3 linked regions of the Bombyx mori genome follow. The protein of the gene in region 2 binds, or shares a complex with, the protein of the main gene of each other region. Links are inferred from orthologs where the notes say so. Each region holds a gene or a part of one and is shown on either strand. Other genes may lie near its edges. The genes, in order: parafibromin, RNA polymerase-associated protein Rtf1 and RNA polymerase II-associated factor 1 homolog.

Region 1 (2,505 bases), on a different chromosome or scaffold from region 2:
TTTTTCAAGGAAGTCAAAGGTAGTGTATATTTCTTCCTTCGAGAATCACATAAAAAACTATTAAATCAAATCAACATTGATGAAAGTGTCTCGTAAGTGTAAGTATTAAACCGATATAATATTTACAGAAATCAAAGTACAATCCTCAGAGCTGCCATTTGTGGGCATAACAATATGAGTTCTGTTGTACTTACTATTATCAAAGATTTGAACTGGATTTCCGTCCCACGGCCATCCTTTAAACTGCCAGGCAGGTCCCTGCACGAATACCGCCACAACACGGTCCCATTCTGCTGCTGATAATCTTCCAGGATTGTCTACAACTCGATATGGCACCTTAAAGTGGGTGACTGATTTAGAAGTAAGTTTGCATAGGTAGATAACTCCTCAATGTCTCTTTAATTTTTTGTTTCACTTCTTTGTGGGCCAGACATGTTTAGAGCCCAGTCAGCATTAGTGATTACCGGAACCTAGACGCCACAGCAAGATTCGTTTCCCACGGTCAAAGTTATAGTGATGATAGTCACACAGAGAGTAGCTGGTTATCCATTATGAACACCAGTAATGGCAAAAGTAAACAAAGAAACTCTATACGATTTTAGTTTGAATAAGAGCAACTCGTTTACTTGACAATACTGTCAACTATCCACTACTGTGATATTGTTATAATGTTATAAGCGTTGTTAACACTCAAATATGATCACTTTGTGGCAGATAGATACATTTGTGGAACATACACGTGGATCATACTTATTTGGTGAGGTTACAATGTATCTATCTGCCGCAAAGTTTTAACTACACTTGCAGTGCGCGAGAAATGAAATGCTAAAGTTAACTATTCCATTTATCTTACCAAGCATATTACAATGTGTTTAAGTTGTTTTTCTCTAATATTCTTGGACTAAGATTCCGGTTTAATATCTAGTGGACTATGAGCTCAACAATAATAAACAATATATTTTCATATTCTAATTAAGAAAACTCGTTGCTAATTATTGAAACAAACCGTTATTGTAGTGGCATTCGTTGGTATTTGATCGCCAGTTTGACCTTTTCTTCTTTGCAAAAGTACTTCATTCTCGCGAACTGCTCCCTCAGTTTTTTTTTGCTCTACAGTTACAAATCTGAAAGAAAAATTATTACTATTAAAATTTATTTATTACTTATTTATTAACTTTGAACCTTTTATTTTTCCTACAACATTTTCCCTACCCCACGACTACTCTTGTCGAAAACGTAGACAGGACTTCAATATTATCTTCGGTTTTGAGAACTATGTGAGCTAAATAAAAATACTCACTTGAGATCTTGAAGAATATCTTTAACATTAAACATAGAGATGAGTGACGTAGCTGCGGCGGGAATGATAATGATGGGAGTGCGTGAGGGCCGCTTTCCTCCTGCGGGAAGTCGGGCTGCGGCCACCGGCAGCAGCTCCCTGCGACCAGGCGTGCCAGGCATAACAGCACCGTTTTCTAAAAATATATTTTTTGCCTCATTTAAAACACGATTGTCATTGATCGACTAAAACTAATTTTCATTTAAATTAGATTGCATAATTTATTTGTGCTTGTTCACAATAAAATAAATAATAAAACCTAATAAAACTTAATATCAGTGATGTGAAGTTTAAATCAGATAAAAGCCATCCCTAAACAACTATAGCCCCTGACTAGACTATATAGAGTCATTGCTATCAGGTGAATGATTTTGTTTACCCTTTTAGTGCTGACCATATTTTGCAAAAATTGCTGAAGGATTATTGAAAAAAGTCCCTTATAGAAATCTTTGACTTAAAAAAATATATAAAAAATAATTCTAAATACAGAGAAAAATAATTTTAAATGATTATTTATAAATTTTATATACTTATTAAAAACGTTATAACATGTGCGCGCTTAGACACTTCTGTACAGGTTGATATCTAATACCTAAAAAACTGCGCAAATAGGCGTTATTCCCACGCTCCCCACTTTATATCTGTTAATTGAGAGTCAATCTATCGACAATTCGTACTATAAGAATTAACATACTTTATAATTAAATATCGGCTCCTGGCATTGCTGAAGTCCATGGGCGACGGTAACCACTTACCACCAGGTGGGCCGTACGCTCGTCTGCCTACAAAGGCAATAAAAAAAAAAAAACCTAAATAGACTTCAACAGTCTCACATTTTGCTGAAACAAATGTTTTTGAGCAAGACTAAAATGAAGATTTAATATATGGTAACTTTTGGATTTGATTTAAGTTGCGTACTTACGTGGCATTTGTCTTGGATGATTGGGCGTTTGAGGGGCTCGAGCTGCTACAGGTACACTTGGTCCTTCTGTTACTGATTTCAATGTCATACCATGATAGGTACCCATGGTATCAATCTTGAAGCCTTCCGTTTCTGAGGAAAAATAAATCAAATTAGAATTTGAAACATATTACAAAATATTGAATTTAATAGATATTTACAAAGATTATACATTATTAGGGAATGAATGTGCAGTGATTTGTTT
Region 2 (3,664 bases):
ACAACAACATACATACGAATCGGTCCCTGCCCCAGAATTTGAACCGTGTGTTGGATTCATCACTTGATCAGACATATATCATGTTCCTAGCCCATCAGACCACGAGGCTTGAGATGTAAATTTGAGCCACACCTGATTTATTATCTTCAGATTCAGAGCCGGAGTCGTCCGAATAAATATCTGAAGCTTTAAGTTTCACAGTCTGTTTGCTCGAGCCGCCTATTAAATCTGCTTCAGCGTCCTGTTGAATAAATAAATAATTGTATTTATTCCATTTTAGGCTTAGGTTATATTTTACAAAAAGGAAAGGAAATCAAAAGGTCCATATTTCAACAAATTTGATGTTGAACATTTTGCAAATATCTAATAACACAATAGAAAAACAATTTAATTTTAACAATGTTAAGTTATCGAATAATGCCTGGATGGTTCACGTAGGATCGTCTAATGATAACTAACACAATTTTAACACAAACACCTACAACCTACAATTTACATGTACAAGTCATCATCGACCACGTCATCTGACTACCTAAACCCAAGTGGCAACCCTTTATCGATATCGAGTTGGGCGGCATTGTCATATTCCTTTGACGTCATGTTTTATGACTCAGTTCATCATCATCAGCCTAAATCAGTCCACTGCTGGACATAGGCCTCTCCAATTGCTCGCCATTGAGCACGATCCCTGGCTTCTCTCATCCAGCTCCTACCAGCCACCCTGCACAGATCCTCACTCCACCGAGCCTGAGGGCGTCCTGCAGTGCGTTTTCCACTCAAGAACGCGTTTACCTCAACGGTTATCGGTTAATATGGCCAGCCGATTGACACTTCAGCTTACTAATTCACTGTGCCATGTCTATAACTTTGGTTCAGAACTTCGGATCACCTCGTTTCTGATTCGATCTTTCAGAGAAACTTTGCAGACTCAGTTTGCAGGTTTTTTTATTTTTTATTTTTAGTTATTTATTTCATTCAATACAAAGTCAGGCTATTAAGTACGTTTTATATATATATAAATCAATTGCTGTTTGTTAGTCTCGTTAAAACTCGAGAACGGCTGGACCGATTTGGCTAATTTTGGTCTTGAATTATTTGTGGAAGTCCAGAGAAGGTTTAGATAAATATGAAAATTCTCGGAATGAAATAAAAATATTTGTTTTTACTTTGATGTGTCCCCCCCCCCCCCCCCCGTCGGACGGATTCCTTTTTTGTTTTATTGTATATAAAACTTTAGGTCTTTTATTTGGCGATTTATGCACTACGAAGTCTGCCGGGTCAGCTAGTAGTGTCACAGTAATGGCCCAAGTGTAATAAATAAAGCGAAACTCACAGCCGGCGCCCTTTGCACTCTCGAAGCCCTTTGAGCTCGCAACGCGGCCATAGCATTCTGTCGTTTGTCATCCACGGCGCGTTTCCGTTCTGTTTTACAGCCAAACAGCGGAGAGGCTGATCTCTCTGAGGGCTCTGTGGAACATCACACGTTTAGTTAACGATATTTTTTTATTGTTCAGCTGTAAATTGTTATCTATACCAGCGGTCGGGGAACTTTTTTTTAATTATTACCCCAAAATATTTTTGTGCAAGTTGATATTACGCCATGGCGAAGAACAAAAAAAAACAAAATCGCTTCTTTTTAGCATTCATATTATAGACCCCATGATAATTTTGAAAAAAAATTTAAAAAAAAATCCTTTCGTTTCATTTCGTTTCATCGAGTTTGAAATCACAACGATTCTAAAGAAGTTTTACTTCTTTAAATACTTTTTACTCACAAGTTTCATTTTTACCCCCCAAAATTTCATTTTACCCCATTTTGGGGTAATTTACCCTTTTTTGTGGGAAACGGAACGTTTTCGAGTGAAAGGGATGAATGTATGAGGAAGAAAGGGACGGAGGGGAAATGGTCAAGATGGCGATCGGGCATAGTAAGAGTGTGAACGATTACAACGTGTTATTCTAACAAATTTTGTTACTTTTCCTATAAGCTGCTATTATTTACTTTAAGCAAGTCCCACACTAATATATAAATCCACAGTGGTTTTTACGGATGTTCCGTTATAACTACTGAACCGTGCATCCGATTGACTTGAAACTTGGTATCCGTGTAGAAAATACACGTACTAAATGGATAGGCTAATATTTATATGAGTGTTGGACTCCCTACACCAGTTGCGGGGGCGTTAATGATGAGAATCTTTGTGGGGATGAGAAATAATTATGTTAATTTTAAATGCTCAGCGAAGCGGACGGGTTTTTTTTTATTGCCCTTTTAGGCAGACGAGCATACGGCCCACCTGATGGTGAGTGGTTACCGTCGCTCATGGACTTCAGCAATGCCAGGGGCAGAGCCAAGCCGCTGCCCCTGGTCTAGTCTACTAATAAAATGGTATTTATTTTTATCGCGTATGAAAAAACTGACGAAATTTATTTGTATTTAAATATTTTTTTATCTAAGCATCTGACATTTTCGTGTATACTGTGACATCGTAAAAATCAATGCCTAATGCGGAGTTTACATTACGAAATTAGTGTCATGCATGTTGAACTCAGTTTCACGAAAGTAGTTTCGATATATGCGAAAGTAATTTCGTTAAAAAATTAGTGTCGCGAAATCCACAGTATCGCAGTAACCACGGCGCCTTCAGCATCAAAGCTATAATTTGCTATATTCAATGTAGCTAAAGAAATGCTTATATACCTATAAACTTAAAAATAGATTATCAAGAAAAAAAGACGTTGGTAGATTTGAGGATGGTTACCAAGAAGGCATTTAGGTGCAATGCTCTGAATTAGCAGATGAAGATCCTGAGAGCTATAAAAACTATTTTCGAATGAGTGAAGATAATTTTGATTTTTTACTGTAGTTGTCGCTGATATTCATTAATAAGATCTATATTTTTTTCTGTACTCCATCGTTGGTTTGCCATTTTCAACGCTTAAAGCGCGTCCGAACTAACAATACACACGTCCGCACAGCGCAGGCCCTTTCGCGACATTAGTTTTCACGTCGCGTCTACACTATGAAATTAGTTGCATGACACTAATTTCACCAAAAAATCGCGCAGGGCACGAAACTAATTTGCATGCATGAAATTAATGCATGCATTACGAAAGTATTCAATTACACGTGAAACTGTTGGTAAAACTAATGTCACGAAATTAATGTCATGCCACTAATTTCGTAATGTAAATTCGCCTTAAGGCATTGAAGACGAAGACAATTAAAAAAGAAAAAAAATGTTCATTACATCAACAACATTCAAAGCAGTTTCGGTATTAGTGTTTATCATATTGATTATCATATTGAAATGAAATTATCTGATTGAATAATATTTGTGGAGCATACCCATATCTTTACTTTCGTCCAGTATTTCTCCAGGACTAGGAGGCGTCTCTTCTGGTTCATTCTGGGGCTCTTTTTCTTTTTCCTTCTCTTTCTCTGCTTCTGCTTCAGCAGCTGAGACACAGACAGTATATGAAATTTTTTGTTGTTACACTACACAGACCTGATATGACATGTTTTTGTTTTCAATTATGGAGGGTAGAAGTAAGGAGAGCCGTCTCAATATCATTGAAAAAGTGTCCCACTTTCAGCACTAAATAACAGTTCAAAAATCGTCCAGAATGCTAGCATAGGCACAGGGTATGATATGAATTGAGC
Region 3 (3,367 bases), on a different chromosome or scaffold from region 2:
GCGGCAGATGGAGGGAAGTCGTATGGGAGAAACTGATGCAGCGGGGGAGTCTCGACCCTCAGTAATGAGGAAAACGACGCGAGGAGGAGGACCATGACCACAGTTTTTCAATATTTCTGTTTTTTTTTTTATCGGCAAGTTGCACTACTAGCCACTACAACCCTTAAAAATCCCAAATGCCCGTAGTTTATACACAAAAATCAATCAAAATATACTTTTCTCGATAATTTTGAATGATTTTTACTTTAAATTTTCGTGGGGTACAAAAAATACGGACGATATTATTGCAACTTTTAAATTGACGTAACTATCCAAGATATCAAATGGTATGAACACTCTAAGTAAACTAGACAACAAAATAGTACTATTTCTAAACAAGAAGTAATTTAATAAATTGTCCTTGATAGTAATGTTTACTGTGCCAAAATGAATTAGTTGTTCTTGAAAAACGAATTAAAACAAATGGCACAAACGATTTTACATTTATTGCATTATTAGACTTACAGTAAATGATCAAATTGTTTGCCACCAGCATTAATACAGGCACGACTGCGACATCGCCTTAAAAAATATCGTTATATTGTAGTAGTAACTCACAGCAAAGCGTGGCCCGGATTCACTACTAATAAAAAAAAAAAAGGATCTCCATTATTTTTGGATATTTTATTCGGGATAAATTACATATGTTTAAAACACAAGGTCAATGTTAAAGTATATCCGACATATTCTTCTTTCAGTCAGAACCACTATGTCTTGACGATGCACTCGACGCTGACCCACTACGTGAACCCTGGGAAATTAAAGAAATTATTTAATCAATAACAATATATTCAATCTTCTTGCCGCTCTACAACTAACATATCAGCAACATGTATTAAATGAATGAATGAATGAAATCATAAATTAGAACATAGGGTTCTATTGTCAAAGACTGATATATTTCTTCAATCACAGATTTCGACAAATAATATTAAAGACATACAGTATTAATCTATTCTCAATTTGACCATAGACTTTAAACAATAACAAAAGTTTGACAATAAACACAGAGTATGCGTGTGTGTGTCAAATACATGCTAGTTGTGTCATGTTTTTTTTTAATTGATTTAATCTATTTTTTATGCATAATTAAAAAAAGATTAATATTCTGCACTCCTTCTCTATATTCTCTATAAGTGAGGAAAATTTAATACTCCTCCGTCCGCGCGATTTTCGTAAAAAGGGGTAGAAAGTTTTTGCTTCACGTATTGATAACTAATACATCGTATTTCTCTCTGCTAATGGTTTGCTGGAAGAAAACTCATGAATGAGTTAAGCTCGCCTTTGTGCATAGTATTTAGACATTCTTTAAATCTGTTTTTATTGTATTTTCTTTTTGTGTATAATAAGTATAAATAAATAAATAATAATAATAATAAAAGATAATATAAAGATAAGATAAATCTACTACTAATATCATCTTTATTTATGACTGAAGGATTACTGGTGGCTCTGAGGCCTTTCCAGTTTCACCAGGATAGGTGGGGACTATATTATTATCATCTTCAAAGAGCTGATAGTGTCAGAAAAAGGTCTTTGTCATAAGGCCAGACCGATATAATTAAGATTCCGTTACTACAAGGATAAGGCAGCCTTAAAAATGTATTGTGTTAGTCACAAATCAATAAAGAACCAACCTGTTTCGAACCACTACGCGAGCGACTTCGAGACTTTTCGGAGCCGCTAGCCGATCCCGAATTCCTTCTAGAGCTAGCTCTGGATGAAGCTTTGGAACCTGAAGCTCTCGAAGAAGCTCGCGAGGCCCGGGACGACGCACGGGAGGAGCGTTTGCTGGCCCGCGATGACGCCCGAGAGCTGGCTTTCGAACCCTGGAAGTTTTTTTATTTTTATTGCTTAGATGGGTGGACGAGCTCACAGCCCACCTGGTGTTAAGTGGTTACTGGAGCCCATAGACGTCTACAAAGTCTTCTAAGTGGAATAATGATTTGCTTAGCAATGGACATTATGCAGCACTGGAGAAACTCAAGATACGAAAACCACTTATTTGATGAAATACTTGAAATAAAATCCGAGGGATTATTAGCTGTTATTCTTATTTAAGTTAATCAGCTAATTCAGAAATGTTCGAATTGATGGGATGTTCGGGATGATACCTGAGTGAACTTACAATACCCATCACCAACCAATTTCGGCGGCGAAACTGTCATGGGGCCGTTCAAGTATTACGTAAGCAGATTTATTACTATTATTCACACCCCCTTCCCCTTGCCAGCAAAAGTAAGCAAAGCCCTGAGCCCGGCGCGATAATTCTCCTCCTCGGTTCCAAGCGAGTACCTAAACGTAGCCATTATTTATGGGAATCCCCGAAAATGCGTTTCGTTTTCAAGCATAGACAATGTGTAGGTTGCCAATATGTGTGAAAAAGTAAATAGCTACTGCTGACGTAATCACCATCTGGACCCCCCACCCCCATGTCATCAAAAATAAGCGAAGCAGAGACGCCCCCGCCCCCTATAGTGCTTACGTAATACTTGAACGACCCCCATGCGACAGTTAGAACGTTGCCACAAGTACAATACAACTGAGACTTCGAGCTCATGTAACCAGGAATGCTATTCACCATTTGGCATCTATAAGATTAGTGAGCACTGGTGTATCCGTAGACTCGGCCCGTCAAAGGCAAAGGATTGAAATAAAAATAATAAATAATAGTTTAAAAAAACTAAAAAACACGCTTTATATAAAATTCAACTAAAAAATAGAAAATAAATTTAAATTGAAAATAGAGTAAAAAAAAATTATTTTATTGTAAAAAAAGCGTGGTTTTTTTTTTAGTTGAATGATTTCTTAGTTGAATTTTATAGAAAGCGTGTTTTTTATTTTTTTAAACTATTATTTATTTTTCATTTTTTAGTAAAATTTTCTATAAAAGCGTATTTTTAAAACTATGAAATACTTTAACATCAATTCCTGCCTTATCGATTATAAATAAAAATTATGTAAACTGGCAAAAATCTTATTTTGCAAATTGAATAATGGAATAATCTTATCAAATTAGTGTATTGTCATCAGTCCTTGATAAATCTACAAAGTTTGAATGTAATCTGGCCGTTTAAAGTGGCTTCAAAATCTAAGCGTCTAAAGAAGTCAGTTACAAACATACAAACATACATTTATTAATTATTTTTTTGTTGCTTAGATGGGTGGACGAGCTCACAGCCCACCTGGTGTTAAGTGGTTACTGGCGCCCATAGACATCTACAGCGTAAATGCGCCACCCACCTTGAGATATAAGTTCTAAGGTCTCAAGTATAGTTACAAAGGCTGCCCCACTCAAACCGAAAGGCATTACTGCTTCACGACATAA

The links.
Region 1: RNA polymerase-associated protein Rtf1 (region 2) and parafibromin share a complex: the UniProt entries of both Caenorhabditis elegans proteins name them as parts of the PAF1 complex. The link is inferred for Bombyx mori from reciprocal best matches to the Caenorhabditis elegans genes rtfo-1 and cdc-73.
Region 3: RNA polymerase-associated protein Rtf1 (region 2) and RNA polymerase II-associated factor 1 homolog share a complex: the UniProt entries of both Caenorhabditis elegans proteins name them as parts of the PAF1 complex. The link is inferred for Bombyx mori from reciprocal best matches to the Caenorhabditis elegans genes rtfo-1 and pafo-1.

The regions. Positions count from the first base shown.
Region 1 is NC_085121.1:7,754,952-7,757,456, forward strand, and holds part of parafibromin, read right to left. Parts: intron 2,394-2,505; coding exon 2,262-2,393; intron 1,476-2,261; coding exon 1,301-1,475; intron 1,125-1,300; coding exon 1,007-1,124; intron 337-1,006; coding exon 195-336; intron 1-194. UniProt on the Caenorhabditis elegans protein: Component of the PAF1 complex which is a multifunctional complex involved in transcription initiation via genetic interactions with TATA-binding proteins, elongation and transcription-coupled histone modification.
Region 2 is NC_085130.1:8,014,602-8,018,265, forward strand, and holds part of RNA polymerase-associated protein Rtf1, read right to left. Parts: intron 3,461-3,664; coding exon 3,350-3,460; intron 1,468-3,349; coding exon 1,334-1,467; intron 242-1,333; coding exon 133-241; intron 1-132. UniProt on the Caenorhabditis elegans protein: Component of the PAF1 complex which is a multifunctional complex involved in transcription initiation via genetic interactions with TATA-binding proteins, elongation and transcription-coupled histone modification.
Region 3 is NC_085120.1:5,063,865-5,067,231, reverse strand, and holds the end of RNA polymerase II-associated factor 1 homolog, read right to left. Parts: intron 1,869-3,367; coding exon 1,677-1,868; intron 995-1,676; exon of another isoform or gene 791-994; coding exon 734-790; 3' UTR 645-733; downstream 1-644. UniProt on the Caenorhabditis elegans protein: Component of the PAF1 complex which is a multifunctional complex involved in transcription initiation via genetic interactions with TATA-binding proteins, elongation and transcription-coupled histone modification.